Arabidopsis thaliana: one gene and its partner. The protein of the gene in region 1 interacts with the protein of each later gene in a pairwise test. Each region holds a gene or a part of one and is shown in the gene's direction. Other genes may lie near its edges.

Region 1 (17,332 bases):
AATACCCAAATCTCACATCGAATCTCTTTCGAGACGACATAGCTCTACCACACTTCAAGCAATGCTGACTTTTCAAGAACCCTAACAAGGAAACAATAGTAACTATGAGATCTCAACTGATCCCTACAACTTATGAATATTGGAAATATGGAAATGTGTTCCTCTTCTCAAGGAACAAGACCGATTCTTCGGCCTTTTAATAGAAATATTTGGACCAAATTTCTCCTTCATATTCATCCTTTGGATTTGGTTCTATCTAGCATTTAAGGAGCTAATTAAAGACAGCCACTTGAAGTTTTATACAAACATATATTTCGTTAACCTAAGCTCAAAAAAAAATCATGACATTTTTTCTTCTGTAAATGTGTAGTTGTATATAGGATTAAATATAAATGAAGATGGAGATATTTTTTGTTACTTTTATCAATCAGCCATTTTTTTCTATCTATGAATTCACTACTTATAACATGCCTGCCACTTAAAGAGCCAATCACATTGATATAGTTTTGTATAAACTCTTTAGTTTCTTGGGTGTCCATGGAAAATTTCAAAGATACCACACGAAAATTTCAATTTTTAATATAGAGAAATATAAAACAAGAATAAAATGTTGCTAGTTGTTGAAATTTATATTTATTCTTGGTGTTATCTCATATTTGACTTGGAACATATTTCACTAACGTGCTTAGGTGTCCTTATGAAATCCAATAAATACATTAAACACACCAAATCTCTTAACTCTTCTAAGGCTATGTCCTAAGATTTCCTTGTTCAGTACAAAAAATGGGATGTCTCTGCATCAATCTGAAGAAGAAGGTCAAGAAACCAACACCAGACATCAGTGGAGAACAAAACACAGAGGTAAAGAGCAGAGAAATAACACCAAAAGAACAACCTCGTCAAAGACAACCAGCTCCAAGAGCCAAGTTCCAGATTGTGGTGCAACCTCATAAACTCCCACTTCCACTTCCTCAGCCTCAAGAAAAACAAAAGCTGATCAATCATCAAAAACAGAGCACCCTGCAACAACCAGAACCGATCTTAGGGAGACCATTTGAAGATATTAAGGAGAAGTATAGTCTTGGTCGCGAATTAGGTCGTGGCCAATTCGGTATAACGTATATATGTACAGAGATTTCATCAGGCAAGAACTTTGCTTGTAAATCCATCTTGAAGAGAAAGCTCATCAGAACTAAGGCAAGAACCTTATAAACACTCACATTTTAACATTACTTTGATTTGAGTTTTAGGTTTATATTGGTAATCCTATTCCTCATTAGACCATTAATCTTCAGAAATTTGATGACATTTACTGTGACAGGACAGAGAGGATGTAAGAAGGGAGATACAGATAATGCACTACTTATCAGGACAACCAAACATTGTGGAAATCAAAGGAGCTTATGAAGACAGACAAAGTGTTCATCTTGTAATGGAGCTTTGCGAAGGCGGTGAGCTTTTTGATAAGATCACTAAACGAGGACATTACTCAGAGAAAGCAGCCGCGGAGATCATTAGAAGTGTGGTTAAAGTTGTACAGATTTGTCATTTCATGGGTGTGATTCATCGCGACCTTAAACCCGAAAACTTCTTGTTGTCCAGTAAAGATGAAGCTTCCTCAATGCTCAAGGCTACTGATTTTGGTGTTTCAGTTTTCATCGAAGAAGGTATATAGCCAAAATAAGAAATATGCAAGGGATAAACTTTCTTTCTTGCAACCTAAGAAATGATTTCTACGCGCTGTTTCTTGCTACTGAAGAAACGATTATTCTGTTTCTGTTTTTGCTTCTTTCTTGAACTGCTATCTGATTTTGGATGTCATGGTTTTGAATGAACCTAAAAGTAAAACCCGAGCAACATTCCTCGAAAAATAAACTCGAATTCAGTGACTAAACCAATCTGTTTTTTTCAGGGAAAGTGTATGAAGACATTGTTGGAAGTGCATATTACGTTGCACCGGAGGTTCTGAAGAGAAACTACGGCAAAGCAATCGATATTTGGAGCGCCGGAGTTATTCTCTACATCCTTCTCTGCGGAAATCCTCCATTTTGGGCAGGTAAACTTCAACTGAACCACTAGGTTTGGTTCTGTAGTTTCTAAAGTTAAGTTGATCTTAATTTTTGGTTGTCGTGTGCAGAGACTGATAAGGGAATATTTGAGGAGATTTTGAGAGGAGAGATTGATTTTGAGTCGGAACCATGGCCGTCGATTTCGGAGAGTGCTAAGGATTTGGTGAGAAACATGTTAAAGTATGATCCCAAGAAACGGTTTACTGCGGCTCAAGTCCTAGGTAAACGTTACTAGTATACTTGGTTTGTTTGGTTTAATGTTTCGAACGAAGGAAATTGAACCGGTTTTGGTTTTTCTTTAGAACATCCTTGGATACGAGAAGGTGGAGAAGCTTCTGATAAACCAATCGATAGTGCTGTTTTGTCGCGGATGAAGCAACTCCGAGCTATGAATAAGCTTAAGAAGCTTGCATTTAAAGTAAGTATCTTTGATGTTTCGTTTTACTTGATGAAATTAGACCGGTTTTGATTCATTAATATGATTTGGTTTGGTTTAAGTTTATCGCGCAAAATCTCAAAGAAGAGGAACTAAAGGGTCTCAAGACAATGTTCGCAAACATGGATACCGATAAGAGCGGTACAATCACTTACGACGAATTGAAATCCGGACTGGAAAAACTCGGTTCGAGGTTAACCGAAACCGAAGTTAAGCAGCTCTTGGAAGATGTAAGGCGTTTTGTTCTCTTTACTAACTTAAACTAACCGGTTTTGATCAATTTGGTTAATGTTTTTTGGTTTAGGCTGATGTCGATGGGAACGGTACTATTGATTACATTGAGTTCATTTCAGCTACTATGAACCGGTTCAGAGTAGAAAGAGAGGATAATTTGTTCAAAGCTTTTCAACATTTCGATAAAGATAACAGCGGGTATGTGTCGGAAACCGATATGTACCAAACTGATGAACCAGAATTAAACCGGATTAATAACCAAATTACATGTGTTTGTAGGTTTATTTCGAGACAAGAATTAGAAACAGCTATGAAAGAGTATAATATGGGAGATGATATTATGATCAAAGAGATTATCTCAGAAGTTGATGCTGATAATGTAAGTCGAATATCTCAATTTATAAAATACCAAACACAATTTGTTTAGTTTAATGATAGTTTTAAAATGTTCTAATTCATATTTTTGTTTGTTTTTAAAAAAGGATGGAAGTATAAATTATCAAGAGTTTTGCAATATGATGAAGAGCTGCTCACAATCACACCAATCAAAATTGGTTCAACCGAATTAAGGACCATAATCTCCGATTTAATTCATTTTTAGTTCAGTACATAAAATTTCGAATGTAATTTGGATAAATAAACTGTCCATAATATTCCTCATACAATTTGTTTTTGGTCCATCATTGGTATTGTACTCTCCGTAAACCGATTTCGGTTTAAGAATTAACCGAATTATTTTTTTTGGCGAAAAAGGGTTGTTCGTCGTCTACAACTAGCGATTCATTTCTCAAAATTGAGTCAGATAGTTCGGTAGAATCTTTTCAAGCCGTGTCATTTCTTGTTCGGTAACAGTTTTTTCTCTTGTCATGTATGCTCTGATACACCATGGAAGAAGGTTGGTCCAGTTACAGAAATTGTCTAATTTCAGAGTTTCAGTTCAAAACGGATCTGCTTTGTCCAATTCCTTCTCTTTTGCTAGTGTTGCTGATGCGACCCTTATAGATAGCCTTAAAGGTAACAACTTTACAGTCTCTTACCTAGTTGATTCATTGGGTTTAACCACAAAGCTCGCAGAATCGATCTCCAAGAAAGTAAGCTTCGAGGAGAGGAGAAATCCGGATTCTGTTCTGAGTCTTCTTACAAGTTATGGGTTCACAAAGTCTCAGATTTCAAGTATCATTACTATCTACCCACGATTGCTTGCATTAGATGCTGAGAAATCCATTGCTCCCAAGCTTCAGTCTCTGCAGTCCAGAGGAGCTTCAAGCTCTGAGCTCACTCAGATTGTTTCTACTGTTCCTAAAATCTTGGGGAAGAGAGGGCACAAATCTATAACTGTATACTATGATTTCGTCAAAGACATTATAGAAGCTGATAAGAGTTCTAGTTACGAAAAGTTATGTCATTCTTTTCCACAGGGTAACAAGAAGAATAAGATCAGAAATATCTCTGTTTTGAGAGAATTGGGTGTGGCTCAGCGTTTGTTATTCCCTTTGCTCATCTCAGATGGCCAACCTGTCTGTGGTAAAGAAAGATTTGAAGAATCTCTCAAGAAGGTTGTTGAGATGGGTTTTGATCCGGAGACTACAAAGTTCGTTGAAGCTCTGCGAGTTATTTACCGTATGAGTGACAAAACAATAGAAGAAAAAGTCAATGTCTACAAAAGGTTAGGCTTTGGTGTGGCTGATGTATGGGCAATCTTCAAGAAGTGGCCTTCTTTTTTGTCATACTCAGAGAAGAAGATAACTCATACTTTTGAAACCCTTAAGAGTTGTGGTCTGCTTAAACACGAGGTCCTGTTATTGTTGAAGAAGCATCCAAAATGCATTTGTTCTTCAGAGCAGAAGATTGTGAACTCCATAGAAACATTCTTAGGCCTAGGATTCAGCAGAGATGAGTTTGCGATGATGGTCAAGCGATATCCTCAGTGCATTGACTATACTGCTGAGACAGTGAAGAAGAAAACTGAGTTTATTGTGAAGAATATGAATTGGCCACTAGAGGCTTTGGTTTCGATCCCTCAGGTATTTGGATACAGCCTGGAGAAGAGAACTGTCCCAAGGTGTAATGTAATCAAAACTCTCATCTCAAAAGGACTGATGAAAGACGGAAGTGAAGCCCCTCCAATGTCATCTGTTTTAACAAGTACCGATCAGGCGTTTTTAAGGAGGTATGTGATGAAGCACGACAAGTTGGCACCTGAGTTGATGGCTATCTTCACTGGAGAAAATGGGAAGTGAAAAGAGGAGCTTCTATATATAGTCAGAACACCTACCACACAACAAGAGCATCATTAAGGTTTGTATTGTTGTGTTAGTTTTAGATTCTTCCATGAATCTGTTGACATCAGGCCATGAGAAGTGAAAAGAGGAGTTTCATTTATATATCTCTGATACCTATTTAGACTTTTGTAATCTCAATTTGACTCATTTTAATATACAATCCAACATTGAAAATAAGTAGCAATACTTTTCAATCTTTTTTGAGTCTTGAACTCTTTTAGTGGCCTAGAAACGTGGAGATATGTTCTTCTTTGCATTCACATGAAGCACATATCTTGGTTAGTCAGGTAACTTACAATATATTGATCAATCCTAAGAGCAAGTTTTCGAAGATAGTGGTTTGGTTCCAGATTTGATATCATAAAGAACTCTGGTTATATCATTCCATTGAGGTTGCAGCCGAGGAGAAGAAGTTGTTACGCTCCATCTTTACATGGTTCTTAGCGAATGTGACCTTTGTCCCTTTGTATAAATAGCAAAAGTTTCAGCTTACCATTTGTGTTCCTGGTTTTGCTTTTGGCTACTTCTTGTAAGGGAAGATGATTCTCAGTTACAGTTTCAATAGCATACCATATTACCGTAATCTTAAACGAATGACTTTATCCATTAGGTCAGTGCAACCGTGCAACTGCAGGTACAGATTTGTCTACAGTTAAAAAATGTTATGCCAAGCAAAGAGAGAGAGCAAAAGCAATTGGAACCGTTAGATTGATATGTTTTAAAAACAATAATTAGAACCCTCCGATCATTTTATATTTCGTTATCTTATAAGAAAATGCTGACATCAGCAGATCCTAAAATCAATTTGCCTATCATAATCATCATAAACCCTAAAAAATCGTTTTTTTTTTCCTTCTCCTCAAATTTGAACCCTTGAAAGATCCATCACTCATCAACTCTTTAACGGCACGAGTCACCACTGATCGATGATTGAGTCTTTTGTCTTCCCTGCTCAACATAAGTTTGAGATTTGTGCTCGAATTGAGTTAGATTGATTGGTAGAATTGCTTCAAAAATTGTTATTTTCGGGATTTGTAGTAATCGCATTGCCTGTTGTCATGTATGCTCTGATACTCCATGGAAGAAGGTTGGTACAGTTGCAGAAATGGTGTAACTTTAGTCTTTCAGTGCAAAAGGCATCACCTACATCCAATTTCTTCTCCTCTGCTTCTGCTGCGTGTTTGAGTCCTAGAGTTGGTCGAAAAGGAAACAACTTTACAGTCTCTTACCTTGTTGATTCATTGGGCTTAACCACAAAACTCGCTGAATCCATTTCACGGAAGGTTAGCTTCGAGGACAAGAACAATCCTGATTCTGTTCTGAATCTTTTGACAAGTCATGGGTTCACAGGTTCTCAGATCTCCACCATCATTAGGGATTACCCACAGTTGCTTATAGCAGATGCTGAGAAATCACTTGGTCCCAAGCTTCAGTTTTTGCAGTCTAGAGGAGCTTCAAGCTCTGAAATCACTGAGATTGTTTCTTCAGTTCCGGAAATATTGGGAAAGAAAGGGCACAAAACTATCAGCGTATACTATGATTTCATCAAAGACACTTTGCTTGAGAAGAGTTCCAAGAACGAAAAGTTATGTCATTCTTTGCCACAGGGTAATCTGGAGAACAAGATCAGAAATGTATCGGTTTTAAGAGAATTGGGAATGCCTCACAAGTTGTTATTCTCCTTGCTCATCTCCGATAGCCAACCTGTATGTGGAAAAGAAAAATTTGAAGAAACCCTCAAGAAAGTTGTTGAGATGGGTTTTGATCCTACCACCTCAAAGTTTGTCGAAGCTCTACAAGTTATTTACAAAATGAACGAGAAAACAATCGAAGAAAAAGTCCATCTCTATAAAAGCTTAGGCTTTGATGTGGGAGATGTATGGTCAAGTTTTAAAAAGTGGCCAATCTCGCTGAGAGTATCGGAGAAGAAGATGTTGGACTCCATTGAAACATTTCTTGGCCTAGGATTCAGCAGAGATGAGTTTGCCAAGATGGTCAAGCACTTTCCTCCGTGCATTGGATTATCTACAGAGACGGTCAAAAAGAAAACTGAGTTTCTGGTGAAGAAGATGAATTGGCCACTAAAGGCTGTTGTTTCAAACCCTGCGGTATTTGGATATAGCCTGGAGAAGAGGATTGTTCCAAGGGGTAACGTAATCAAAGCTCTCATGTCCAAAGGATTGATGAGAAATGAACTCCCTTCGATATCGTGTGTCCTCATGTGTACCAAGCAGGTGTTTTTAAACAGGTATGTGGCGAATCACGTGGACAAGCAGCTGGTGACGGAGTTGATGGCTATCTATCGTGCTTCATAAATTTAAACTCTTTCTCTCTCTTTAAACTGTAATTTTCCCATATATTACTGAGGTTTCTAGCCAAAGAGCTGCAGGGGACATGTGAATCCAAATTCTATGTTTGTTGATTTCTTCTAAAGCAGAGATAGTTTCTGAATTCACTGTGACATTGTTTGGATATGGAGTTGAATGATGCAATGCAGCTCTTGAGTTCTACGATTGATCACGTAAGCCTTTTCCGTTCCTCAAGTAGTGTTTGATCTTTATTTTCACTTTTTTCTTTAACAGTTTTGAGATAGGAGTACACTGAATCACAGCTGGTCATACCAAAATCCTCTTATGATAATTAAAATCTTGCTCTGTCGTTGCTTTATATCATTCATTTGATTTGTGAGATGTTTTAATTCTCAGATTGGTGATCTTGGTCTTTACTTGCTATGGCGTTTCATACTCATTTTTTCTGAGCTTATGGTACATTGTCCCACATCATTAGGACTCATAAATCATATTATCATCCAATCCAGGTTGGTAAAATCTGGAATCTAGCTATTACTCTAGAAACTTCAAAGCTCTGGATGGTTTGAAGTTTGGTGAGTTTTTGCGATGGCTGACGACCATTGGAGTGAACACACTCAAGTTTATTTCTCTGTTTGACCTACAAGGTAATATGCTTTTTAGTGTACACACTCAAGCTTATTACTCTAGGTTTATTGAATAAATCGAAGGATATGATCATCGAAACCGTTTCACACTCAACGTTGTTATGGGGTATCATTGAGATAATGTATTGCTTTGGTTGTTCATTAATGTGCTCACTCAACGCATTTGCCCCCAATATCTCTGGAAACTAATTGTAACAGAACTCTCTTTTCCTTTTTTTTAGTCTTATTGTGTTTTTAGCCATATGAGATATGGTTCCCTTGTAAAAAAGGCAATCTACAAGTTTACAAGGGTACGTTAAAAGTTAAAACTATGGTAAGTTCCTTTCATCTTTGAAGAATTCAGAATCTATTTTCATAAAAGTTTGCACCTTTAACCTGAATTTAGCTATGGGATGATCGAAGGCCATTTACTTTACTTCTTAGAGCTTTGTTTACTCAGCGATGGACCTGTGCAATTGTGAGTTGCTAGAAATATTTCTCGGAAAACCTTATTCGCAGTCGTATTTGTGGCTATTCAGGTCTTGAGAAGGAAAGGAGAATTAGGAAGTCAGAAGAGATGAGAAATGTTTCAAAATAGCTCTTTGAAAAGTTGAAATATCGGTTGAAAATGCTTGGTGGTTTAAAGGTGGAGGTGCAGGTCCTGTGGCTATATAGAGGGTTTAATATTTTGGCTGAGGGATTATCTATTGTTGAGAAGCTTGGTGGTTCGTATACTGAAGGTAAATTATGATCTTTGTACAGTTTCTGATACCGTCATATACTCTCATTGATGAACTTATTCTGGACTGGGTGCTGGTGATGTCTAATTCTCTGTATTCCGGAAGAGGTAAAAGGACTTGCATTTTAGCAGAATCACGGGGAGGAACCAAAAAGCAAAGCTTTCTATGGAAAAAATCCAAGGCCTTTTACTTTTACTTGTTAGAGCCAGAAAAATGGATAAGCTTTGTTTGCCCTGCGTTTGAGGGTTTCTTAAATTGTTTTGGATGATGAAATGAAGAAGTTTCTGTTGTTGCTTGACATTAAGTTCTGTTGTCTTGTTACTTTGGTGTTCTAACAAACCGACCTTAACTCGTGCATGATATACTTAACTTCAATGTTGTCACGACAAGTCCAGCTCCGGTTCCTTGGTTATTCAAAGATAACTGTACACAACACACAACACACACTCTTCACTAGACATAATTTGTAAGAAATCATTACTCTAAGAATCTCCTCAAATCAAAATATGACTTTGCTCTGTGATGCATTTATAGTCTTTGGAAAACTCAGTAAAAATCTTCACATCTCTACAATATTCATGGAATTTATAAAACACTCTCTTTGTAGCTGTAGCCAAGTGGTGAGACCTGGGTTCGAATCCCAGCAGTAACATTAACCTTATTAATTTTGTTAAAGAGAATAAATTAAAGGACGACGTATACCAATTGGCAAATCATTAGGGTTTATGAAATTTTGAGTGATTTTCAGAGAAGTTTGAGGATGACTGTGTGATTCTACTTCTCGAATTGAAATAGATAGTTGGGTCATAATCGCATATCCTTGTCTTCTGTCATGTATTCTCTGATTCGCCATGGAAGAAGTTTGGTCGAGTTACAGAAATGGCGTCATTTGAGAGTTTTAGTGCAAAAGGCGTCTCCTTTGTCCAATTCCTTCTCCTCTGCTTCTGCTGCGCGTTTGAGTCCTAGAGTTGGTCGAAAAGGTAAGAGCTTTACAGTCTCTTACCTCGTTGATTCATTGGGTTTACCCAAAAAGCTCGCTGAATCGGTCTCAAGGAAGGTTAGCTTCGAGGACAAGGACAACCCTGACTCTGTTCTGAATCTTTTGAGAAGTCATGGGTTCACTGATTCTCAGATCTCCACCATCGTTACGGATTATCCACAATTGCTTGTAGCTGATGCTGAGAAATCACTTGCTCCCAAGCTTCAGTTTTTGCAGTCTAGAGGAGCTTCAAGCTCTGAGCTCACTGAGATTGTTTCTACAGTTCCTAAAATCTTGGGAAAGAGAGGCCACAAAACTATCAGCGTATTCTATGATTTCATCAAAGAAACTTTACTTGATAAGAGTTCCAAGTCCGAAAAGTCATGTCAACCTTTTCCACAGGGTAATCTGGAGAACAAGATCAGAAATTTATCTGTTTTGAGAGAATTGGGGATGCCTCACAAGTTGTTATTCCCCTTGCTCATCTCTTGTGACGTACCTGTCTTCGGTAAAGAAAAATTTGAAGAATCCCTCAAGAAAGTTGTTGAGATGGGTTTTGATCCATCCACCTCAAAGTTTGTGGAAGCTTTGTGCGTTGTTCAAAGATTGAGCGACAAAAACATAGAAGATAAAGTCAATGCGTATAAAAGGTTAGGCTTTGATGTGGAATATGTATGGACAGTGTTCAAGAGGTGGCCAAACTTTCTGACACACTCGGAGAAGAAGATATTGAACACCATTGAAACATTTCTAGGCCTAGGGTTCAGCAGAGATGAGTTTAGCGTGTTAATTAAGCGCTTTCCTCAGGGCATTGGATTATCCGCGGAGATGGTTAAAAAGAAGACTGAGTTTTTGGTAAAGAAGATGAATTGGCCACTAAAGGCTCTTGTTTCAAACCCTGCGGTGCTTGGATACAGCCTAGAGAAGAGGACTGTCCCAAGGGGTAACGTAGTTCAAGCTCTCATCTCCAAGGGATTGATCGGAAGTGAACTCCCTTCGATATCGCGTGTCTTCGTATGTACCGATCAGGTGTTCTTAAACAGGTATGTGAAGAGGCATGAGGACAAGCAGCTGGAGACTGAGTTGATGGCTATCTATCGTGCTTCATAGATCACAAGGCTGATCAAGGATTTTGGTTTCTATCTTTAAATATCTGAAATCCTCAATTTAGACTTTAGTTCTCAATTTCATATCGATCCAAACTGTTTGTCTCTCTCTATAGATGCTTGAAATTGTAAGTTTTGAATCCATTTTCTGCTATATTACTGAAGTTAAATTCCAAATTCTTTGTGACCTTGTTCGGATATAGATTTGAATGATGCAATGCAGCTCCTGCATTCTTGAATTGGTCATGTAAGCCTTTTCTATTTCTCAGTTAGTGTTTACTTTCACATTATTCTTTAAATTTTGGGATTGGAGTACTGAAATTACAGCTACTGATACCAAAATCCTCTTATGGTACAATAAAGTCTTTGCTTTATATATTCTTTGCTCCTGAGATCCTGGAGTCCTCATGTAAGCTCTGTCTTTGCTTTATATATTCTTTGATCATATGATTCATCTGATTTGTGGAATGTTTGTATTTCAGATTTGTGATCTTGGTTTTTACTCGTACACGTTTTTTGTGAGCTTTATATTACATTGTCTTGAATATATTGTCAGGGGCACTGGAAACCTATCCTACATCATTAGGACACATCAATCAGATAATCATCCAGTCCAAGGTGGTAAAATCTTTATATCTAGCTTCTAGCTGAAGAAGCTTGGGACGTTGAACGTTGTTTTGAGCTTTTGCTATGGCTAACGACCTCTGGAGTGAATACTCAAGTTTTCTCTCTTTGACTCGCAAGGTAATATGCTTATTAGCGTTATTATAGGTACATTGAGATAGTATAATGTGTTGGTTGTTTATTAATGTGCTCATTCAATGCATTTGCTCGATATCTCTAGGCTATCTATCAGAACTATCTTTTCCTTTACTTGATCTTATTGAGTTTTAGACGTATGAGATATGGTTCCCTTGAAAGAATGCAATCTACAAGTTTACAATGGTACGTCAAAACTGTGTTAAGTTTCTTTCATCATTGAAGAATTCAGAATCTTGTTTCAACTTGGACTCAGCAAACACTTTTGGCAATTGAATCTCTTATTTATTCTAGGAAAATTACATTATCAACTATTTGTTCGTTCTTGATAGGAACTTGAGGGTGAATCTCTTGGCGCAGAAAAAATGTTTCAGAGAACTTTTTCTTATAGTTTGTGATTCTCATATCTTTTTTTTTCAGTGATGAATCCAGAAACTATTGAAGAGAGCTATTCATACAGACTATAGAGCAGTCACCATTGTTACATCAGAGCAGTCACTAATGTTGCATCAGAGCAGTCACCAATGTTGCATGTTAATTTTGTAGGATCACATTTGGTTGACAGTAACCAGATTACAAATGTACTCTGGTATACATACAGTTGGTTCGTGATCAACAATTGAATAGTATCTAAACCAGACCAAAATGAATCCGGTTCTGCTTGGTTAATAATACCAAGTCTTTTAAATTGATGCAGAACGTGAGATCCTAGTGAACCAAACTGAAACAATATCTGAAGATGACAGGAGGCGTAATGAGGCTAGAGTATGCAATTTGAGGTCATTCCTAAATAGATAAAGCAAATGACATTTGGTGAATGAAGAAGCTCTACAACCATATGTTCGCAATTTAAAACAAACCGATATCGTTTGAGATCTCAGAAATAGTGTGATCACCTTTTTTCTCCTCCAATTTTTGAAGATCTCAAACTTTGTTTTGGGCTTGAAACATAATGTCCATATCCGCCTGCCGTGATACTATATGGGCCGAGTCAGGCCTGTCAGGCACCTGACTCTTTTGAGAAAAAAAAAGAATCATAATTGAAATTCTTCAAGGTTTACTATCGGTGGAGCAACACATAAACCCTAAATTTTGGGATTTAGGGTTTCGCGATTTGGAAGCGGATTCATGGTGAGTTTCTTGTTATTGTTCGTAATTCCAGAGAAATTTTGGTATCTATGATTCATGACTGCGCGATTCATCTTCTCGAATTGAAACAGAGAGTAGTTGGGTCGGAATAGCTTTCAACACTGTAGCATTTGTAGCATTGTCTTTTGTAATGTATTCTCTGATTCTCCATGGAAGAAGGTTGGTCCAATCGCAGAAATGCTTGAGTTTGAGTGTTTCAGTGCAAAATGCATTTGTTTTGTCCAATTCCTTCTCTTCTGCTAGAGCTGCTGATGTGAGCATTAGAGATGGTCGAAAAGGGAAGAACTTTACAGTCTCTTACCTCGTTGATTCATTGGGTTTATCTAAAAAGCTCGCTGAATCCATCTCAAGGAAAGTTAGCTTTGAGGACAAGGTCAATCCTGATTCTGTTCTAAGTCTGTTTAGAAGTTACGGGTTCACAGATTCTCAGATCTCTACCATCATTACGGATTATCCGTTATTGCTTGTAGCAGATGCTAAGAAAGCACTTGGTCGCAAGCTTCAGATTCTGCAGTCTAGAGGAGCTTCAAGCTCTGAGATCACTGAGATTGTTTCTACAGTACCGAGAATCTTAGGAAAGAAATCTATTACTGTATACTATGATGCTGTCAAAGACATTATAGTAGCCGATACGAGTTCGAGTTATGAACTCCCACAGGGTTCTCAGGGGAATAAAATCCGAAATGTATCGGCTTTGAGAGAATTAGGCATGCCTTCTCGGTTGTTATTACCCTTGCTCGTCTCCAAATCGCAGCCTGTGTGTGGAAAAGAAAATTTTGATGCATCCCTTAAGAAGGTTGTTGAGATGGGGTTTGATCCCACCACCACTAAATTTGTTTTAGCTTTGCGGATGCTTTACCAAATGAGCGAGAAAACGATTGAAGAAAAAGTTGTAGTCTTTAGAAGTTTAGGTTTTACTGTGGATGATGTATGGGAAATTTTCAAGAAGACTCCTTCTGTTTTGAAAGTCTCCAAGAAGAAGATATTGAAGTCGGCTGAAACGTTTCTAGACCTAGGATATAGCAGAGCTGAGTTTCTGATGATGGTTAAGCGTTATCCTCCTTGCATTGAATATTCTGTAGAGTCTGTTAAAAAGAAGAATGAGTTTCTGGTGAAGAAGATGAAATGGCCACGAAACGCCTTGGTTTTGCACCCTCAGGTGTTTGGATACAGCATGGAGAAGAGGATTATACCAAGGTGTAACATACTCGAAGCTCTCTTGTCGAAAGGACTGCTCAGAAAGGGAAGTGAACTACCTGCAGTGTCCTCTGTTTTGTCGTGTACCGATGAAGGATTTTTAGACAGGTATGTGATGAAGCACAACGAGCTGGTGCCTACGTTGATGGCTATATTCACCAAAGGTAGTGTTTCATAGATCAGAAGGCACACCTACAACAATGAGCAGTGCCAAGGTTTGTTCTTATTTTGTTGTTGTCAGTTTTAGATTTCTAGATGAATCTTATGATGTGATAATGGAAAAACGAAAGAAAAGCTTTTGTTAAAGTATCTATGAGTGAATTCATGATATGTCAAAAATGTTGCATGGATACATTGGCTCTTTAGTACTTGTTACGAGCTGCTAAGAGAGTCGTGTCAAGTTCAATACTTTTCCTTGTCATTTCCATAATTGCTTGTCTGTTTGGATTCTATTGTGCGGAAGTTATGATTTATATTTTCAGATTCATATTTTCACTTAGGAAGCTTTAGTTGGAATCAAAGTGGATGACTCTGATTGAGGATTTCAATGATCGTTGTTAGAACCTTTCTTGTAGTTGGTGGATTGTATCAAAATTGATATGTTCTTAACTTCTGGATTGAGAGTCAGAAGTTGGAAAAATGAATTCAATTCATTTGTATTAAGAGGTTTTCGAATAAGAGATCACAGTTATAGTATAGTATTAATTGGATATCACAATCTATTCATAATATTAGCTAGTTAGATAAAATTGTGTTTGATCTTGGCAAGAGGTGTTAAAATAGTATCATGTTGACATGTTGGTATGACTATTAGTCGTAATTTAAGTTTATGTATATTTCTTGTAAGAAATGTCCATGTATCATAATAAATACAAGTGTATCGAGTTTTTGTATATATAGAGGTCTATGACTTGGGAAGAAGAACACAACACAACTCACCACAAACACAATCTAATCCAAAAAATCAAAAGATGAATGCCACAAAGTTTGTTGTGCTTCTCGTGATTGGCATTTTGTGTGCCATTGTCACCGCAAGGCAGGTCAAAGATTTGTCCACGGAGACCAAATTAGGGGCCTCTCTTCCAAAAACTACTACCAAAGGCATTGGAGCTCAGCTTTCTGCAACTGGCACAACTTACAGCACCAGCAGTGTCGTTAGCTATGCTAATGGTTTTAACAATCCCAAAGGTCCAGGGGCCAATTCATTCGAAAGTGCCAACACATTTACCAGCGGACAAGTCACTGCCAAGGGTCGCAAGGCAAGAGTTTCTTCTACAAGTGCTTCTGCCGCTGAAGGCGATGCTGCAGCTGCAGTGACTCGCAAAGCTGCTGCTGCACGTGCAAACGGTAAGGTAGCTTCCGCATCAAGGGTGAAGGGTTCCTCTGAGAAGAAGAAGGGCAAAGGAAAAAAGGATTGAGCGTGAGGTGCTCTCATATTCTCATGCATGCGTATTCCTCAAACCTATATATTAATAATATCCTAAAAACTACAAACTCACAATCTCTATCTTGTTCATAAATAAAACCAGAGATTGTCACCTCTATATATTATTATGAAATGCTACTCTTTCTCATGTAATGGCTTTTTTAAAAATAAAATAAATGCAATAAATCTTATACTAATCTTCCTCAGTAATGTTAAATATATATATAGAACACTTAATATTCTTGTCAAGAACATGATGACTCTCAGTAACAACAGAGGTTTAAATTTAATCACTCACTACCAAAGAGAAAAATGGTTGAAACTGGTAACAAGCTAAGGTTTCTTCTTCATCTTCGTATGCACGTAAAGACTTGGGATTTTTTTAAAGTATTTCTTCCTGAATATAGTTGTCATGAAATGGTAATGTTTCGTTATCTCTGTTTCTTCTATTCACATCAAAAATAAATTTCAAATTTTATATATCAAAATAGATCTGCATGTGGTTCCTCCAGATTTTATTGACATCTTAGAGAAGCCATTACCAATGAAGCTGCCTCAAAGGGAGGGTCTTAAGCTGCAGCGAATCGCAAAGCTGCTGCTGCTTCTGCAGGTGGTGCCACAGGTTCCGAATCCAGGGTAAAGGGTTCCTCTGAGAAGAAGAAGGGCAAAGGAAAAAAGGATTGAGAGTGAGGTCATCTCATGGTTATTGTACAAACCTATATATTAATAATATCCTACAAACTACAAACTCACAATCTCTTTCTTGATCATAAATAAAACCAGAGATTGTCACCTTTACTTATCATGAAATGCTACTACTATCTTTCTGTAATGGCTATTGATGATATATAAATGATAGCAAAATTTATAATATTCTGAATGATACATTATATCTTCTCTTTATTGATTCTCAAATATCCACCGACCACAAGCATTGCTTATAGCATTCTTTGTACATTCTCATACAAGTGGATAAGAGTTCCGAGTATGAAAAGCTATGTCATTCTTTGCCACAGGGTAGTAAGCAGGTGATCAAAACCAGAAATTTATTGGTTTTGAGAGAATTGGGAATGCCTCAGAAGTTGTTGTTCCCCTTGCTCATCTAGCGGAAAAATTTGAAGAATCACTCAAGAAGGTTGTTGAGATTGGTTTTGATCCGACCACTTTAAAGTTTGTCAAACCTCTCCACGTCTTTTACCAAATGAGCGACAAAAAAATTGAAGAAAAGGTTAGGCTTTGCTGTGGGAAATCTTCAACAAGTGGCCTTGCTCTTTGAAATTCTCAGAGGAAAAGATAAGTCAGACGATTGAAACCTTGAAGATATGTGGTTTGAACGAAAACGAAGTCCTTCAAGTGTTGAAGAAGTATCCGCATTTCATACGTATTTTGTTAAAATTGCATCATCTTCGTTTGTTTCATTCCATTGACTTTAATGTTCTTTTGAACAATTATTAACTATGTGTTTTGCTATTTATCATCTAATATAGATGTCATGTTTTATATTATCTCAATTGTTCATGTCCATAATTTTAGGAAGTTTGACTGTTTGAGTGATGCTCCTGTCATTAGCATCACTCAAGAGATTATGAATTCTCTCCAAATTTTGATTTTTGTGAATGTCCAAATTTTGATTGTAGTACATGTGACCGTTGGGTTAGAAAGTTGGAAACAATGCACAAAAATAATGGTTATAATGAACCAAAAAGTAAACCAATTAAATCAATATTTGATTTGTCCTTAAACCGGTCCAGAACTAAAACCCTAAAAATCTTATCTTTCCTCTCCGATATTGGATCTGTGCAGTAATTTTACTAATCGATTTCGTGTTCTTCGTTGCTTAGTAAGAAAGTAGAAAGTTTCTGAGAATCTCGGGCACGAATTGAATCAGATAATTCGCTAGAATCGGTTTAACGCTTTAAAGGCAATCGCTTTGCATTCTCATGAATTCTCTTATACTCGGTGCTGCTAGAAGGTTCGTGGGGTTGCATTTGAGAGTTTCAGTGAACCTTTTGCAAAATGA
Region 2 (16,318 bases), 5.2 Mb from region 1:
CTTTGAGCAACACACACACACAAGCGAAACAGAGAGAGAGAGTAATGGCGATGATAGAAGAAAAAACCCTAATACTTAAATCTGGATTAAGAGAGAGAAATGAAAATCGGAAACTGCTCTGCTACGCTCCTTCTATTTCTCAGTCTCTCGCTCGGAGAACCAAATGCTTGTGTGTACACGGTATATAAAGGATCTCGTTTGGGAAACTACCCCTGGTTTGACTTTTAATTTACGAAACTATACCCTTGGTGATTTTTGATTGGCTGAAACGACGTCGAATTAGTGGATTTTTTTTAGTCTAATGGCTTTTTTTGGTCTGTCAATGAAACTTGGACTACAAGGCATGTAGACTGAGTTTTTTTCCCATAACAAGATTAGGAAAAAAGGGGATGCATTTTAAATAATTAAGCAAACTAGATATATTTGTTAATGTGTTTGTATTGATAAAGAAAATAAAATAATGAAAAAATTAATGAATTTTGAATAATAAAGGAACTAAATACAATAGTTACCTTTTTAGTATTATTAATTAAGGGAACCTTCTACTGTGTTTAAAACACAGCTCAACAATTTACTGTAGTTGATTTTTAAGGTCTGTGATTCTTAATTTTAAGATTATCTAGAAAATATATAATGGGTTTCATAAATAATCAAAAATATTATTTGTCTTGAATCTAAGACTGTTATAGATTATTTAGTAAATATATCATGTTTCCTTAAATGATCATTAATATATTATTTATGATCATAAAAATTCTTATATTTTCACAAAAGAATTGAAAGAATAAGTCCTCCGTAAGTCTTAATTACTCTTTACGTAGAAGTAAAGCCGGTAATTATATTGAAACGGTCTTTAACTTTTTAAACAGAAGATTGAACAAACTCGCATTTATAGATATCGCAATCTCTTGAGTCAAATTATTTATTTGATTAACATTTCCTTATTTAGTCCATGATTCATGGTCGCAAGTCCAAATTTCCATGAATAAACTTTGACCAAGTCACAAAAACTAGTATTTGCTAAAGACTTCTACGTAAGATTATTTACATAGGTACGAAATGGAAGCAATACAATGGTAGCTCTTTAGTCTTACACCATCCAGGTGTAAGTAAGAATTTTAAAGTTTCCACCTATCCTTATATATTAGATGATTATAACCATTTTGCTGGAGCATCCTACTGGTTGATTAGTTCTGCTGCAAATCTTTATTCTACGAGAATGGTACAAGCTGTGCCCATTAAAATACAATAAAGAAACATAGAACATTCAGAATCTTGGACATCATATATATATAAACCCATCACAATGGACAAGAGTTTACACCCAAAACCATAATGCAACAAAAGGGCACTGCTACTGATATCAGTTTTTAGACCATACACTTTCAAGTTTAAAGGCAAGAAGGAAACATAATAAACTTAATATGATATAGCAAATTAGATGTATGTCGATATTTACTAACCTTCCAAGCCACATGTGCTAAGCATAGACTACATCTCTAGATGATTCACTGGTAAAGCTAGGCTTCAGAGACTCCAAGTAACCATCGTCTTTCTCAACAGTCTTCTGTTTCATGTTTCTACTCTCCTCAAACGAGGAATCTCCTTCAAGATTACTTAAGACCTCCTTCTTTCTCTTCCTCTTGAACGTGTACTTGATGCACCGATTTTTACTCAGTGCTAAAACTGGAGTTTCTTCGCACAAAGGAGATGCAGAAACCTCCATATTCTCACAGCTCTCTTTTTCTTCCTTCCTTGCCTCTGTTTCGCTAATCTCCAGCTTTCTGTCATTTTCATGTTCCCTCGGAGGAGATGTTTTCAAGGATATAAGAGTGCCGACATCCTTCTGAGAAGAGTTTGGAGACACTATTGGGGCTTCTCCATCTTTAACAGAAGATATGGAGTCAGTAGCATCAGCACAACCAGACATTTCTAAGCTCTCTACAATTTTACAAGACGAAACTTCGTGAAGACATACTCCATCATTCACATCTCCTACTTCTACAGAGGAAGACAGAACCCCATTGGCCATACTGCTATCTACTGTGTGGATCATCTGAGCTAAACCTTCAGTTTCCCTGCGTTTTGTCAGTATAGATGGAAGAGTGTAGTGACATTGATCCTTGTTATCTTTATAAGAACACCGGTTAATACTATTTATGCGAGTCAAAGACGGTACTTTTATCCCATTAGCCACCACTGATCCATTTTGTTCCACTGGGATGCAAAAACCTACAGCTTCTGTGTTCTCGTGACTGCAAGAAACCTCAGGCATTACAGAAACTGCAGCATCACGGTTATTCCAACAGAGGTTTTCCTCATGATTCTTTTTAAGATGTTTCTGACCATCCGTAAGTTTCTTGAGCTCATCGTGAAGTACTCTCAACTCCAACCTCAGCTCTCCTACAATATCTTCAGCTTCTCCAAGCTGAGCTTCAAGTTCCTCAACCTTCTGTTGCTGCTTCAAGGATTGCATCTCTGTCTCCTTAACCTATAAACACAAATCGGTTTTTTAAAAATTAGAGTTGAGGAGGAAACGCAAAGCCAGCCACAAAAGAAAGATATACTCCATTAGGGAAAGCTCATCCTCAAGCAAACGTGATACAGTCTCTAAGATGAAAAAGCTATATCCCCCACACTGAAAAACCTTTAACTTAAAAATTTCACGATGAAATGAGAATTGAGAGCATAAGCCATGAAATATGTGTAAGCCTCACTGCCAACAATGGTACAACGAATCTAGAACTTGCTGACACTAAGCTACACTTGGTTACGCTCATTAGTTTTAGGCCTTAGGTTTCATGAACAAATATCAATGGAGGAAGAGAAAAGCTATATCTGCAAAGTATCAATGTAATAGTCTCAAGAGTGTCAAAAACAATGGCTTGTATCAACGTTCAATGAAGTGAATGTAGTGAAAAAACATAGCAAAAATGATAGTCTCGAAGCATATCATTTGAATGATGGAAGATTTTAGTCACTTCAAATGTCAAAGACTGAATAAACAAAACTCAGAGTCACACACACACACACAACATTAACAATGCTTAAAACCATGAAAGCAAGGCTGAAAAACTTAATTTCAAAAGCCATCTTCATATGAAGCAAGAAAAAAGAAATGCCTCTAAGACCCCAAAAACATAATCAGGCAGAAACCAAATAAAACAAACCAAGAACCCATAAACAAATGAAAATAAGAACAAAGTGATAGTACCTTGGAATCAAGCATCTGTTTAAGCCTAACCAACGTATGAAGTGCTTCATTTCTAACCGTCACAAGTTCTTGCTGATACCTACGCGCCTTCTTCTCAGAAACCATCACACGTGCCGCCGCTTCCTTCGTCGTGTTCAGTATCGTATCGGCGTAGGCTCTCTTCAACGCCGCTAAGGTCTGTGTTAACCCAAAACAAAACGAACAAAAAATCATCGCAAACCCCGAAAAGAAAAGCAAGACAAAACCCACATCGTGAAACCCAAAATTTAAACAAAATTAGCGAAATCAGCAACAAGATTCTGTCCGATAAGAGAAACAAGGTCTAGAAGAAACAGAACGAAACTAAACGAAGAAAAATCCGAAATCGAAAAAAATGAACTCGTGAGAGGAGGAGATTGAGGGGGTTTAAGGTAATTGTACCTCTGGGTCTGCCATTAGAGCCGATAATGCGATTGCAGAGAAGCGATTGTTGATTTTCCGACCAAGGTCGCGAACTCGCCAAGAAGAAAGAAAAAGCTAAAAAGGTTTTTTTTTTTTTTTTTGTTTCTTTTTGTGTTTCCTTGAAGCGTCTGTCTGTTAGGAACAGAAAGAAGTATAAAGACCTATTTACCCCTAAAAACTCGATGTTATTTCTCAAACGCCACACCACACGTCACGTCAGCTTCAGCATTTCAGACTGCAAACGGCGGTACGGTTTCCCGTTATCTCCGTCACTCTTTTCGTAATCTCTCTTTTGCTTTTTACATTTTTCGGTGATAAATTTACAATTTCAAAATACACTGGACTTTTAATTTTTACCTCATTTAGACAATTAGACCACTAGATTTCGTAGCTTTTACCCCAAACAAAAGACTATATTGTAGCTAGTTCTAATTATTGAATTTTGTATCAACTATTCCAATACGAGACATGATATAATGTTCCATATTTGGTAGATACATTCAAAGAAAAAAAAAATGGTAGACAGCTAAAAAAGAAGCTAGCTCATGGGATTAAACCAAAATTAAGATATCCAAATGATTTTGAAGTTTCGATTGCCTAGAAGATGGATGGACAATTAAACCGACTTATAGAACATTGTCTAGTTTACAACATATATTACCAATGTAATTGTATTCTACTATTTACTAGTGTACACTAATACTACTTTTCTTGCAATTTTAGGCGCCAATTTTTTTTGATCGAAAAATATCGAGTTAACCAATTAAAACCGGGAAGTAATCATTAAACCGGGTAATGACCGGGTGATTACTCGAGACTGTTATCCACAATAAGAATCCACGTGTCTTCTTCAAGCCCCTCCCTCTTCTTCCATTTTTCCGCCATTTCACCTAGAGAGCGAGCTTTTGGGTGAGAAAATCTCTTCTTCTAAACTATTCTACTGCCAATCTTAATTCGTGCGTTTCTGTCTAGAGCTTGGTGGTGACTAGTAACTTAGCCGTTAATCTTAAATCTCTGATTCAATTCAAATCGAATTGCGATTTTCCCGAGAAAATCTCGTTTCACTTGCTGGAGGATTTTTGAATCCTTATGTGAACTCTAGTTACCCAAAATGAACCTAGCAATTCCAAATCCCAACTCACACCACCTCTCCTTCCTCATCCAGAATTCAAGCTTCATCGGAAACCGGAGATTCGCCGACGGCAACCGTCTCCGTTTCCTCTCAGGAGGAAATCGTAAACCATGCTCCTTCTCCGGTAAAATCAAAGCAAAGACTAAAGATCTCGTTCTCGGGAACCCCTCCGTCTCCGTGGAGAAAGGAAAGTACAGCTACGACGTCGAATCGCTGATTAACAAGCTGAGCAGTCTCCCACCACGCGGGAGCATCGCCAGGTGCTTAGACATATTCAAAAACAAGCTTTCGTTGAACGATTTCGCACTCGTGTTCAAAGAGTTCGCTGGTCGCGGCGATTGGCAAAGGTCGCTTCGTCTCTTCAAGTATATGCAACGGCAGATATGGTGCAAACCTAACGAGCATATCTACACTATTATGATCTCTTTGCTTGGTAGAGAAGGTCTACTAGATAAATGTCTTGAGGTATTCGACGAAATGCCTAGCCAAGGTGTGTCCCGCAGCGTTTTCTCTTACACTGCTTTGATCAATGCTTATGGTCGAAATGGACGGTATGAGACTTCTCTTGAGCTTCTTGATAGGATGAAGAATGAAAAGATATCACCTAGTATTTTGACTTACAACACTGTGATTAATGCTTGTGCTAGAGGTGGTTTAGATTGGGAGGGTTTATTGGGTTTGTTTGCAGAGATGAGACATGAGGGGATACAACCTGATATCGTGACTTATAATACACTGCTTAGTGCTTGTGCTATTAGAGGTTTAGGTGATGAGGCTGAAATGGTTTTTAGGACTATGAATGATGGTGGGATTGTTCCGGATTTAACCACATATAGTCATCTAGTTGAGACATTTGGGAAGTTACGCCGGCTGGAGAAAGTATGTGATCTTTTAGGCGAGATGGCCTCCGGCGGTAGTTTGCCGGATATCACTTCTTATAATGTGTTGTTAGAGGCATATGCGAAATCCGGGTCTATTAAGGAGGCAATGGGGGTCTTCCATCAGATGCAAGCTGCAGGGTGTACGCCGAACGCAAATACATACAGTGTTTTGCTGAATTTGTTTGGACAGAGTGGGAGGTATGATGATGTGAGGCAGCTTTTTCTTGAGATGAAATCAAGCAATACGGATCCTGATGCTGCTACATATAACATTTTGATTGAGGTTTTTGGGGAAGGGGGGTATTTTAAGGAGGTGGTAACTTTGTTCCATGATATGGTGGAGGAGAATATTGAACCGGACATGGAGACATATGAGGGTATAATATTTGCTTGTGGGAAGGGGGGACTTCACGAAGATGCTAGGAAGATCTTACAATATATGACAGCTAACGATATCGTGCCAAGTTCCAAGGCGTACACTGGGGTTATTGAAGCGTTTGGGCAGGCTGCTTTATATGAAGAAGCGCTTGTTGCTTTCAACACCATGCATGAAGTAGGAAGCAATCCAAGTATTGAAACATTCCACTCACTGTTATATTCGTTTGCAAGGGGAGGACTGGTCAAGGAGTCTGAGGCGATTTTGTCCAGGTTGGTGGATTCTGGTATTCCCAGGAACAGAGATACGTTCAATGCACAGATAGAAGCGTACAAGCAAGGAGGCAAATTTGAAGAGGCTGTGAAGACATATGTAGATATGGAGAAGTCAAGATGCGATCCTGATGAAAGGACGCTTGAGGCTGTTTTAAGTGTGTATTCTTTTGCGCGGCTTGTTGATGAGTGCAGAGAGCAGTTTGAGGAGATGAAAGCTTCTGATATACTGCCCAGTATCATGTGCTACTGTATGATGCTAGCTGTTTATGGGAAGACGGAGAGGTTAGTGCCTTCGCCAGTAATACACGGTTTCTGATGTTTTCTTTTGCGTGTATTTTTATAGCTCATACCTTACTAAGCATGATGATTTATTCCATCATCATAGCATTTTGCTCTTTCAGTTGCCTTCTGTCTATACATGGTCAGGCATGGGGGAGATATGCTAGTGTAATGTAGCACCCTAGTTAATTTTCTTGCAGCTAACTTGAGTGTTCTGGATAAGCAGTAACTTTAGCCATTGTTTTGTATATAACATCTTAAGATTTTAAGCAACACTTCAAATTTTTTTTTTGGTTTATAGGTGGGACGATGTCAATGAGTTATTGGAGGAGATGCTTTCAAATAGAGTATCAAATATTCATCAAGTTATTGGGCAAATGATCAAGGGAGATTATGATGATGACTCAAATTGGCAGATAGTGGAATACGTGTTGGACAAACTCAATTCAGAAGGATGTGGTTTGGGAATAAGGTTTTACAATGCACTTCTGGATGCTTTGTGGTGGCTGGGCCAGAAAGAGCGAGCTGCAAGAGTACTCAATGAGGCAACAAAGCGTGGACTTTTCCCTGAGTTATTCCGGAAAAACAAACTTGTGTGGTCTGTCGATGTACATAGGTAGCCTAAGATCCCTACACTGGCTTCGTTTCATGTGTATGAAATGGTTGAGTACCAGTCAATCTAATTCTTGGTTTTCAATGTTCTGCAGGATGTCAGAGGGTGGCATGTATACAGCACTATCGGTTTGGCTAAATGATATAAATGATATGCTTTTAAAGGGAGATCTTCCTCAACTAGCTGTTGTTGTTTCAGTGTAAGTATTTTGATACTGGGTACCTACCTCATTGCAAGATGCCTTCAAGCTTTTTATCTTGCCTTTTGCCTTTTTTAATTCTTTCTTTCTAACCTCTCAGACGGGGACAGTTGGAGAAAAGCTCTGCTGCAAGAGAATCTCCTATCGCGAAAGCTGCTTTCTCCTTCTTGCAGGATCATGTCTCGTCCTCATTTTCCTTCACGGGATGGAATGGAGGTCGCATTATGTGCCAGCGATCTCAGCTCAAGCAGTTACTGTCAACGAAAGAGCCAACTTCAGAAGAATCCGAAAATAAAAACCTAGTGGCATTAGCAAACTCGCCAATATTTGCGGCTGGAACAAGAGCTTCAACAAGCAGTGACACGAACCACAGCGGTAACCCTACACAACGAAGAACCAGGACGAAAAAAGAACTAGCAGGGAGCACAGCTTAAGAACTAGACAACGTAGTTTCTGTTGCCAAGTCCAGAAATCAAAGGCCTCTTCTGCCTTCCTCCATATAGACTGGTGGGTGAAAACTGTGGGCGTATTTCACAAGCACTCCATATCCATGATAACTATGCTATGGTTTCAAGCAGTAGAGTCAACCTCTGTTAGACAGAAGAAGCTGGAGAAGAAGATAAATGGTGATCTTAGTTTATATGAAGAAGCGTCTATATGAAAATCTCAAGTAAGTAGCCAACTAAGTGTTTTGATGGATTGTTAGACCCATGATTTTGCAGCCATAGATTTTTTTTCGTTTTTTTTTCCATTCAACTATGTTTTTGATTACTATAAAGCTAAATGCTAATGTAAGATCAAAGCTCTAGTTACAATTAAAGGATCTATTAATCAAGATTCCTCAGGGAAGCTCTAGTTTTTGCTTGTGACCTCACCTGATGAACTCTCTCTGTTTCGAAATCTAACTTATTACATAGCAATGACCCAACTCCACCCAGAATAAAGAAAACAATCTGTTGTGCAAGATTCCTTCTTCGGTCTGATTAATCTTTTTCTCTCTCTCGTCCTCAGATATGTGTTTGTTTTCTGATTTAGGAAAGTCACTACAAGTTTGTCATCCAAATTGGTAATAAAATAAGAAAAAGATTGGAGAAAGAAAGGATCTTCCTATAGTGCTTCACACATTACAACTTTAAGATTCCACTTTGTGTGCGCATAAAAGTAATGGTGGCTTTGCTTTCTAACCGATGCTAGTGCTTTGTGTGATTTTGCTGTCTTCCAAAACTATTTACCAAATTTTGTAAATACTTTTTAGAATCTTTTCCCTACAAATCTAAAATAGATAAATAATAATAGTATGTGATCATATTGCTTACAGTCAAATCACATCCTAACATTCTACTAAAAGACTAAAACTATCACCTTTTTGTTTTTTAATGCTATATAGTTGTGATCAAGTCTGGACATACGATCATGCTGTTTATACTACAATTAGGTCCTTAACAGCGTCTTAAAATTTACTCTTAGCTAGAAAACGACAAATTCGACTACACAATCATTTTTGTTGTTGAATTAGATTCCTGAAATTGTAAGTTTTTGTGTTGAAATTCAAAGTTATAATTTCCAAAAAGGATTCACCTGTCTCCCAAGATTTTTTTCTTAATAATCAACTCATAGATCCACAAGATATAGTATTTTAGAAGAAAAAAAAGTACAAGGATGGAGCTGTAACTAAATAGATTATTAGAGCAGAGTACAGAATCATTTCAGAAGCTGACTATTTTTCTAAGCTCAAGTTGCATGCGCTTAGGCCTTAGAGACATTGCGTTGACCAGTACATTATAACCTGTAGATTTTTATCATAAAAATACATGAGGGTAACGTTAAGAAAAATAAAAGCGTCGATTTCATTTCATTTTTCTCATTCTGTTATTTCATTTTTTTGTATTTAACTTTGAGTTTGCGAAAGTCAATAAATATTTCTTCGTTATACGACCTACATTTTTTGGTCGACATAGCGAAATACTTTTTTAACTTCTTATTATAGGATAACATTTATTTAACTCTTTTTTCGTCATCCTATAAGATTAATTAAACTACTAACAAAAAACCTAATAAATCTAGTCAGCCAATGAATAAAAAAAGTCTATCCAAATGAAAACTCTGTAGAGAGACAGGCAGGTAAGAAAAAAATACAAGAACAGACGAATAAAAACAAAACACGTGTCATATGGTACCGTCACCAACACCTACAACATGTAATAGTTTAAAAAGGAACCACGTGGCTTTTGGCTTATAAAAGGGTCCCCAAAGAAGCTCAGATCTAACTCACACCACTCCATTGCCCATTGCTCTGTGTACTTTGCTTCTTTAGGAGAAAGAAAGCACAAGGGGCAAAATCGGAAAGATTATCATGGCCGACGGTAGTACTAGTTCTTCGGAGTCCACTACCGCCTGCGCTGGAAGCGGCACAAGAAGAGAGATTATGCTGTTCGGAGTCAGGGTTGTGCTTGACCCGATGAGAAAGTGCGTGAGTTTGAACAATCTGTCTGACTATGAACAGACGGCGGAGACTCCAAAGATCGACGGCGAAGATAGAGATGAACAAGATATGAACAAAACCCCGGCCGGTTACGCCTCGGCGGATGAAGCTCTTCCCATGTCTTCTTCTAACGGCAAAATCGAGAGGAAACGAGGTATTACTCTTCGATTGAAACTTTTTTTTATCATTCCATAAATTTGATCACTTTAAACTTAGGGATTTGTTAGATATGGTTTGAGAAATGGACTATGAACAACTTTATGTTCATTTGGATTTAGAAAGATGGCTAATTTATTGGGTTTCTTTCTATTTCTTAGGAGTTCCATGGACTGAAGAAGAACACAAGCTGTTCTTGCTTGGGCTGCAGAGAGTCGGTAAAGGAGATTGGAAAGGAATATCAAGAAACTTTGTCAAGACCAGAACCTCTACACAAGTTGCTAGTCATGCTCAGAAATACTTCCTCAGGCGAAGTAATCTTAACCGTCGCCGCCGAAGATCTAGCCTTTTTGACATGACTACTGATACGGTAAATCTCTAATCCTTTGTGACTCTAGTAAGTTAAGTGGTTAGGTTTAGTTTTTAGCTTAGTTGTTTAAAAGAAACTAATAGAGAGCCTTTGTGAATTGTTGGTTAGTGAAAACTTAAGTATAACAAAACTGATTTTGCTTGGTTTTGTTATCAGGTCATACCCATGGAAGAAGATCACCAAGTGCTTATACAGGAGAACACATCTCAATCATCTTCTCCTGTACCGGAAATCAACAACTTCTCTATACATCCGGTTATGCAAGTCTTTCCCGAGTTCCCGGTACCAACAGGGAATCAATCATACGGACAGCTTACTTCATCGAATCTCATCAATTTGGTTCCATTAACTTTTCAGTCAAGTCCAGCACCGCTTTCTCTCAACCTCTCACTAGCTTCATCTAATCTTAATGAACCATCTCCTTCAATGCATCCAGCATTCAACACGATTGGAGTCGCTTAGAGCTTATCCTAAAGGTGAAAATCTGCAACACACCCTGTTTGTTTCTTTGCTGTACAGATAGGTCTTGACTTTGTTATAAAAAAATTCGTCAAATTTATGTATTTGGCTAAAAAAAATCTGTTGAAAAGAAGAATAATAAACAGAGTTTGGAGATAGGACTTAAGTGGGGTTTTAGGGTTCATAATCATCCTGTGTTTTTCCTTCCATGTTTGGAAGTTGTTGTAATACTCTCTAAGTTCATTCGTGTGGATCTATCAAAACTTATAAATCATATTAACGTTATGTTTGTTTTATTCATGATCTCAATCATAAACAGAGTCGTAGTACTTGCTTATCATGTGGCTATCTAAATCATGTTAGATGATTCATGGGGTTTTAGGGTTTTTATAATATATCTGATTTCCAAGGATAAGATATTTTATGTTTGTAGAATAATGTCATTATCTTTAATGATGCCAATAATGTCAAATTTTATTGGTCACTTCCATCATAGTGGAGCTTTTTCTTTTCCCATCAGATGCTTTTAATATATTTTGTGTGGGATGATTACATATTACCCCTGTTGCGTAAGCAATAATCTTCCAATCACAGAACATGATCCCCATTCATTAATCGACCAATCAAACAGCATCATTTTTATATGATGATGATGTATATGTGTATGTCATGTGTGTGTTGGCATGTCCTCTGTTTCTGTCGTGTATGGTTGTATTCAGTTTTAGCGTCAACGACAAACTTCTCCTCACGTCTAAGCGGGGAAAAAAAAAAAAAAAACGAATCCAGTTTATCTTTGTTTGTTTTGTATCTCTCTGTCTTTTGACATTGTCTCTAAATTTATCAATTTCAAATCTGCGACTATCCTTTGTTTTTGGGTACTTTATCTCATCAAATTCCAGCCCAATCTAGACTCTCTAAACCCAGAAATAGAAACACAAATCACAAAAGATTGAGATAGATAGATCATGATCTCTGTTCTTTGTTGATCTTTGACCAAAATTCGATCTCCTATGTATATACAATTGCTCTGTTTTTTCTTGTTCTTGTTTCTGCTTTTACAAGCCACAATGTCTAAACGTTCTTTCAAGAAATTTGTGGAACAAGAACTCGGATCTCTTCCTCATTTCCTCATCTACACTGTTCTTGAATGGAGCCTCATTGTTTTCCTCTTCATCGACGGCGTTATCGCCTTTCTGTCAAACCAATTCGCCAAATTCTTCGACCTCAACATTCCTTGTCTTCTCTGCACCAGAATCGACCACATTCTCGTCCCTAGAGACCCTCAATTCTATTACAACGAGTCAATCTGCGACTCTCACAAGAAGAAAGTATCTTCTCTTGCTTATTGCCATGTCCATAAGAAGCTCTCTGAGATTAAACATATGTGTGAAGGATGTCTTCTCTCTTTCGCCACCGAGAAAGATTCTGACTGTGATACTTATAAGTCTCTCATTGGCATCTTACATAAAGATCTCGAGCTTCTCATTGACGATGAACGAGACCTTCCCTTGGCGTTCAAGAAAGACGACAATTTAGTCCAGACAACAAAAAATCTGGTGGATTACAAGACTAACAACATTAAAAATGATAGCTTGAAGCAACATTGTTCGTGTTGTGGAGAATTATTGAAGATAAAATCTGAGAAGTTACCGAAGAACAACAATTCTTTCCTTGCTCCTGCTCCTTCTCCTAGGGTATCGCACAACAAACTGTCTGAAAACGAATCTGAGTTTAAGGATATGGATGTGGACCGAACACCAAGTTTTGTAAGAGGAGGTAACAAGTTTTTTGGGATCCCTCTGTCTGATTCGGCGCAAAACAGTCCACGATGGTCCGTTCGATCTCTTAAGAAATCCGTTTTGAATAAGACAGAGAATGCTTCGGACACGACAGATCCAACCGGTGAATCCATTCTTAATCAGCTCAAGAAAGAGGTTCGCTTGGACAAGAAGTCACTCATTGATTTATATATGGAGTTAGATGAAGAGAGAAGTGCTTCAGCTGTTGCAGCCAACGAAGCGATGGCTATGATCACGAGGCTTCAAGCCGAGAAAGCTGCTGTTCAAATGGAGGCTTTGCAGTACCAAAGAATGATGGATGAACAAGCAGAGTATGACCAAGAAGCTTTGCAGTCTATGAGTAGTGAATTGGCGAAGAGGGAAGAGGAAATGAAGGAGCTTGAAGCTGAATTTGAGGTTTACAGAGAGAAATATGGATGTTTGACTGATCAAGAAGATGCAAGGGAAGAGTTTCATAAACAAAACGGCAATGCTAGTGCATATGATGATTGCCAAGAAACCAAACCAGTCTCGGATTTGGCTGTCTCTTCTTCAAATCAGCAGGAAAATGGCGAAAACATCGATCAAAATGGGCAATCGAAAAGGTCAGAGGAGTCTACCGCGGAGAATGTTGTCTCTGCAGATGAAGAAAAAGGTATGATTCTTTACTCAAAGTTTGATCATTATGTGTTGTTTAATCTGATCCTAAAAACCCTTTTTAATCTTGTGTTGTTGTTATGAAATTGGGCAGGGAGTGAAAGCAAAGAAGGGATAGTAAAAGAGCTTTCAGAGATCACAGAGAGACTAAGTACTCTTCAATCAAATGGTGATTTATTGAAACACATTGCTGATGTTTTGGATGTTAGTGAAGGAGAAGCAATTCTATTGCAGATATCTCAGAATTTGCACATGCTTCGTAGTTTTGTTGCTATGCCTTCTGAATCCATGAACTTGTAATACAATTTTTTTCCATTTCTTAGAGAACAAGCAAGCTTTCACGCCTTGTCTCAACTTGAAAACATTTCTTTTATTCTTTCACATTAAAAAGTTTCAGTTTGCTCCATGAACCTAACCTAGTTTCAGTTTTGTACTTCATACCCAAAAAATAAAAAAGTTTTCAGTTTTGCATTTGTATTTAGATGTGAAATTTTTCTAAAATGTTTTCACAATTTCAATAGGTATAACATTTTGAGTTTGTATTTAGATGGGATTTTTATATTCTTACATATTTTCACATTTCAAATAGGTATAACATTTTCATTTTCCATAAACATTTTGTTGAGTGTAAATGAATCTTAACACTGAACATAAACAAATTATTTCGTTAAGGATTGACTTTTTTACAAATTTTAAATGCTAATACAAAATGTAAACATAAATAAATTATATCATTTTCCTTCATAATTCAAATTTTAAAACTAAAACTATTATATTTTTATTTATAGAGAACGTACAATCAAATATTTCAACTTATAAATGGAGACATTCGACATTTTTAATTTAGTGATCAAGGAGCGAGAGTTAATTGTACCTAACTTGTTTCAGCCATATATATATCATAGCTCTAGCCACTTGACTAGCTAGGTCTCCGTGAGCTAGGGTTTATTTTGAACCTAATTTATTTTGGCATAGCCATATATGCTTTGCTTAAAAATTGAAGCCATTAAAGAATTGCATAAAATTAAACCCAACACTCATAAAGATTTAATCTTTTCTTGTGTTTTCCTTTAATCCCATCTTATTTTAGTCTAATGAAGCTATAAGGTCGATCCAAAAAAAAACTAATCTCTAATGCTATATAATCTACCAATTAACATCGTCATTTATCATCATCAACCATAATCATCTCACTCACTAGCAATGGCTCATATTTCACAAATCTCTTCTTTTCTCTCAATAGTTTTAATCTTCCTCGCATTATGCATCACTCTCTTCACGAACCCTACTCTCTCACTCCCAGCCCTAAAACTTAACCCTTTCCAAGACTTTTGTGTAGCTGATCTCCAAGCTACCCCAACTAACAGTGGTTACCCTTGCAAGTCACAAGTCACCTCTGAAGACTTCTTTTATTCCGGCTTGAACACTCCTTTAAACACCTCGAACCCAAAAGGTATTGCCGCTAATCCAGCCAATCTCTTGACCTTTCCAGGCCTAAACACTTTGGGAATATCCATGTATAACGTTGCAATTGCACCTGGAGGATACAACCAACCTCACTCTCACCCCGGTGTAACCGAGGCAGGGGTCGTGATCGAAGGCTCGGTCTTGGTTGGGTTCTTAACGACTAACTACACGTTGTACTCGAAGGTTATTGGACCCGGTGATATGTTTGTGATTCCTCCGGGACTCATTCATTACGAGGGGAACGTTGGGAAAACGCAATGCCGTCTTTTGACGGTGGTTGCTGACGACTTGCCTAGCGAGGTTGGTGTGCCTCACACTCTGTTGGCTACGAAACCCGCGATTCCAAACGAGGTATTGATATCGGCGTTTAAGGCGGATAGTAAAACAATCAACATGCTCAGGTCAAAGTTTACTGCTTAAAATAATGGTCTCTATATGGTTCCTCTAAAAATGTAATCTTTTATGAGTTTACTTAAATGAATAACAAAAGTCAGTGTTTTTTTTTTATGGACAAATCTAGTAATACTTACAATAGCAATTCTATTTTCATCATAATAAGTCCGTTACCGTTAGCCTCCCAAGTTCCCAACTAGTTAGGAAAGTTTTGAAAAAAGTTAATATATAGAGAAAAATACAAGATGATAAACACATCTTCTTGGGTTTTATTTAGGAAAAAATAAAAGCCACATATCATCTATGTTTTGCACATGACCACCATCATGATGTGCACTTGCAAAAATGGTTTTGATCGTTATTTTGTTGATAGATCACTCTCTCGAAGAACTCATGTCCCCATCCCCTACTTCTACTATCTCCTTGGGATATATCTGCATGTTAACATGATCGTCTATGAAATTCTTCTTACAAAGTCTAAGATTCAACTCAACGATCTATATACAGATTCTTTACCCAAACAAAAAAAGAATAAAACCTGGTGGCCTTTGTCTTCGTTATGACCGAGTGTACGGACTTTGAGCTCGCCTCTGCTCGTTGTTAACTCGTCTAGAATCTCAGCATCACACTCTTGGACCCCTCTCGCCGAGTTATTCGACTTTAAAACAGGGTTAAATCGATAAACCTCAATCCTTTAAACTACTCTAGACAAATATCAAGAATAAAAAGAATGTACATATTATATAGACATTGACTCACCCTGAAAGACAGTTCAAGCGGGTTTCTAGGAGTTCCAGGGATCTCCTCATACTCCGCCGCATCGAGTTCCCGGAGATAGGCTGGTTTAAAGAGCTTAGGGAGAAGGTACTGTCTGATGGCTACTAAAAGGAAGAAAAGAACCGGAAACATGATTCCGGCCACTGGAATCCACGTCACTCCGTAGCAAAGCCCAAAGTAGAGTATCTGAAATAGCGTGAATGCAGCGATTGACTTATGCGGAACTTTCTCCACGAACGATGCATGCGCTCCTTCCAAGACCCTAACAACAAAAAACAATCACATGATCAGTCTTTGAAGGAAACCTTTAACAAAAAAACAGAGCATTTTCAGAGCACATACTTGAATCTCCGGGTTGGTGGGACGAAG

The links.
Region 2: the proteins of AT1G61980 (region 1) and AT1G74840 interact in a two-hybrid assay, tested with the Arabidopsis thaliana proteins (one large-scale study listed by BioGRID).

The regions. Positions count from the first base shown.
Region 1 is NC_003070.9:22,898,634-22,915,965, forward strand, and holds AT1G61980 (Mitochondrial transcription termination factor family protein), read left to right. Parts: upstream 1-9,384; 5' UTR 9,385-9,528; coding exon 9,529-10,785; 3' UTR 10,786-11,525; intron 11,526-11,960; 3' UTR 11,961-12,245; downstream 12,246-17,332. Other genes in the region: CPK19 (calcium-dependent protein kinase 19), read left to right, coding at 784-1,197, 1,322-1,667, 1,913-2,056, 2,138-2,290, 2,372-2,487, 2,568-2,735, 2,810-2,937, 3,019-3,118 and 1 more; AT1G61960 (Mitochondrial transcription termination factor family protein), read left to right, coding at 3,606-4,979; AT1G61970 (Mitochondrial transcription termination factor family protein), read left to right, coding at 6,080-7,336; AT1G61990 (Mitochondrial transcription termination factor family protein), read left to right, coding at 12,820-14,064; AT1G62000 (uncharacterized protein), read left to right, coding at 14,858-15,304; AT1G62010 (Mitochondrial transcription termination factor family protein), read left to right, coding at 17,253-17,332.
Region 2 is NC_003070.9:28,110,763-28,127,080, reverse strand, and holds AT1G74840 (Homeodomain-like superfamily protein), read left to right. Parts: upstream 1-9,658; 5' UTR 9,659-9,763; coding exon 9,764-10,046; intron 10,047-10,209; coding exon 10,210-10,418; intron 10,419-10,574; coding exon 10,575-10,880; 3' UTR 10,881-11,638; downstream 11,639-16,318. Other genes in the region: AT1G74860 (uncharacterized protein), read right to left, coding at 1,481-2,491, 3,215-3,391, 3,635-3,649; PTAC2 (plastid transcriptionally active 2), read left to right, coding at 4,767-6,601, 6,900-7,214, 7,306-7,410, 7,511-7,844; AT1G74830 (myosin-binding protein, putative (Protein of unknown function, DUF593)), read left to right, coding at 11,888-13,310, 13,407-13,612; AT1G74820 (RmlC-like cupins superfamily protein), read left to right, coding at 14,516-15,199; BOR5 (HCO3- transporter family), read right to left, coding at 15,547-15,606, 15,711-15,830, 15,932-16,211, 16,292-16,318.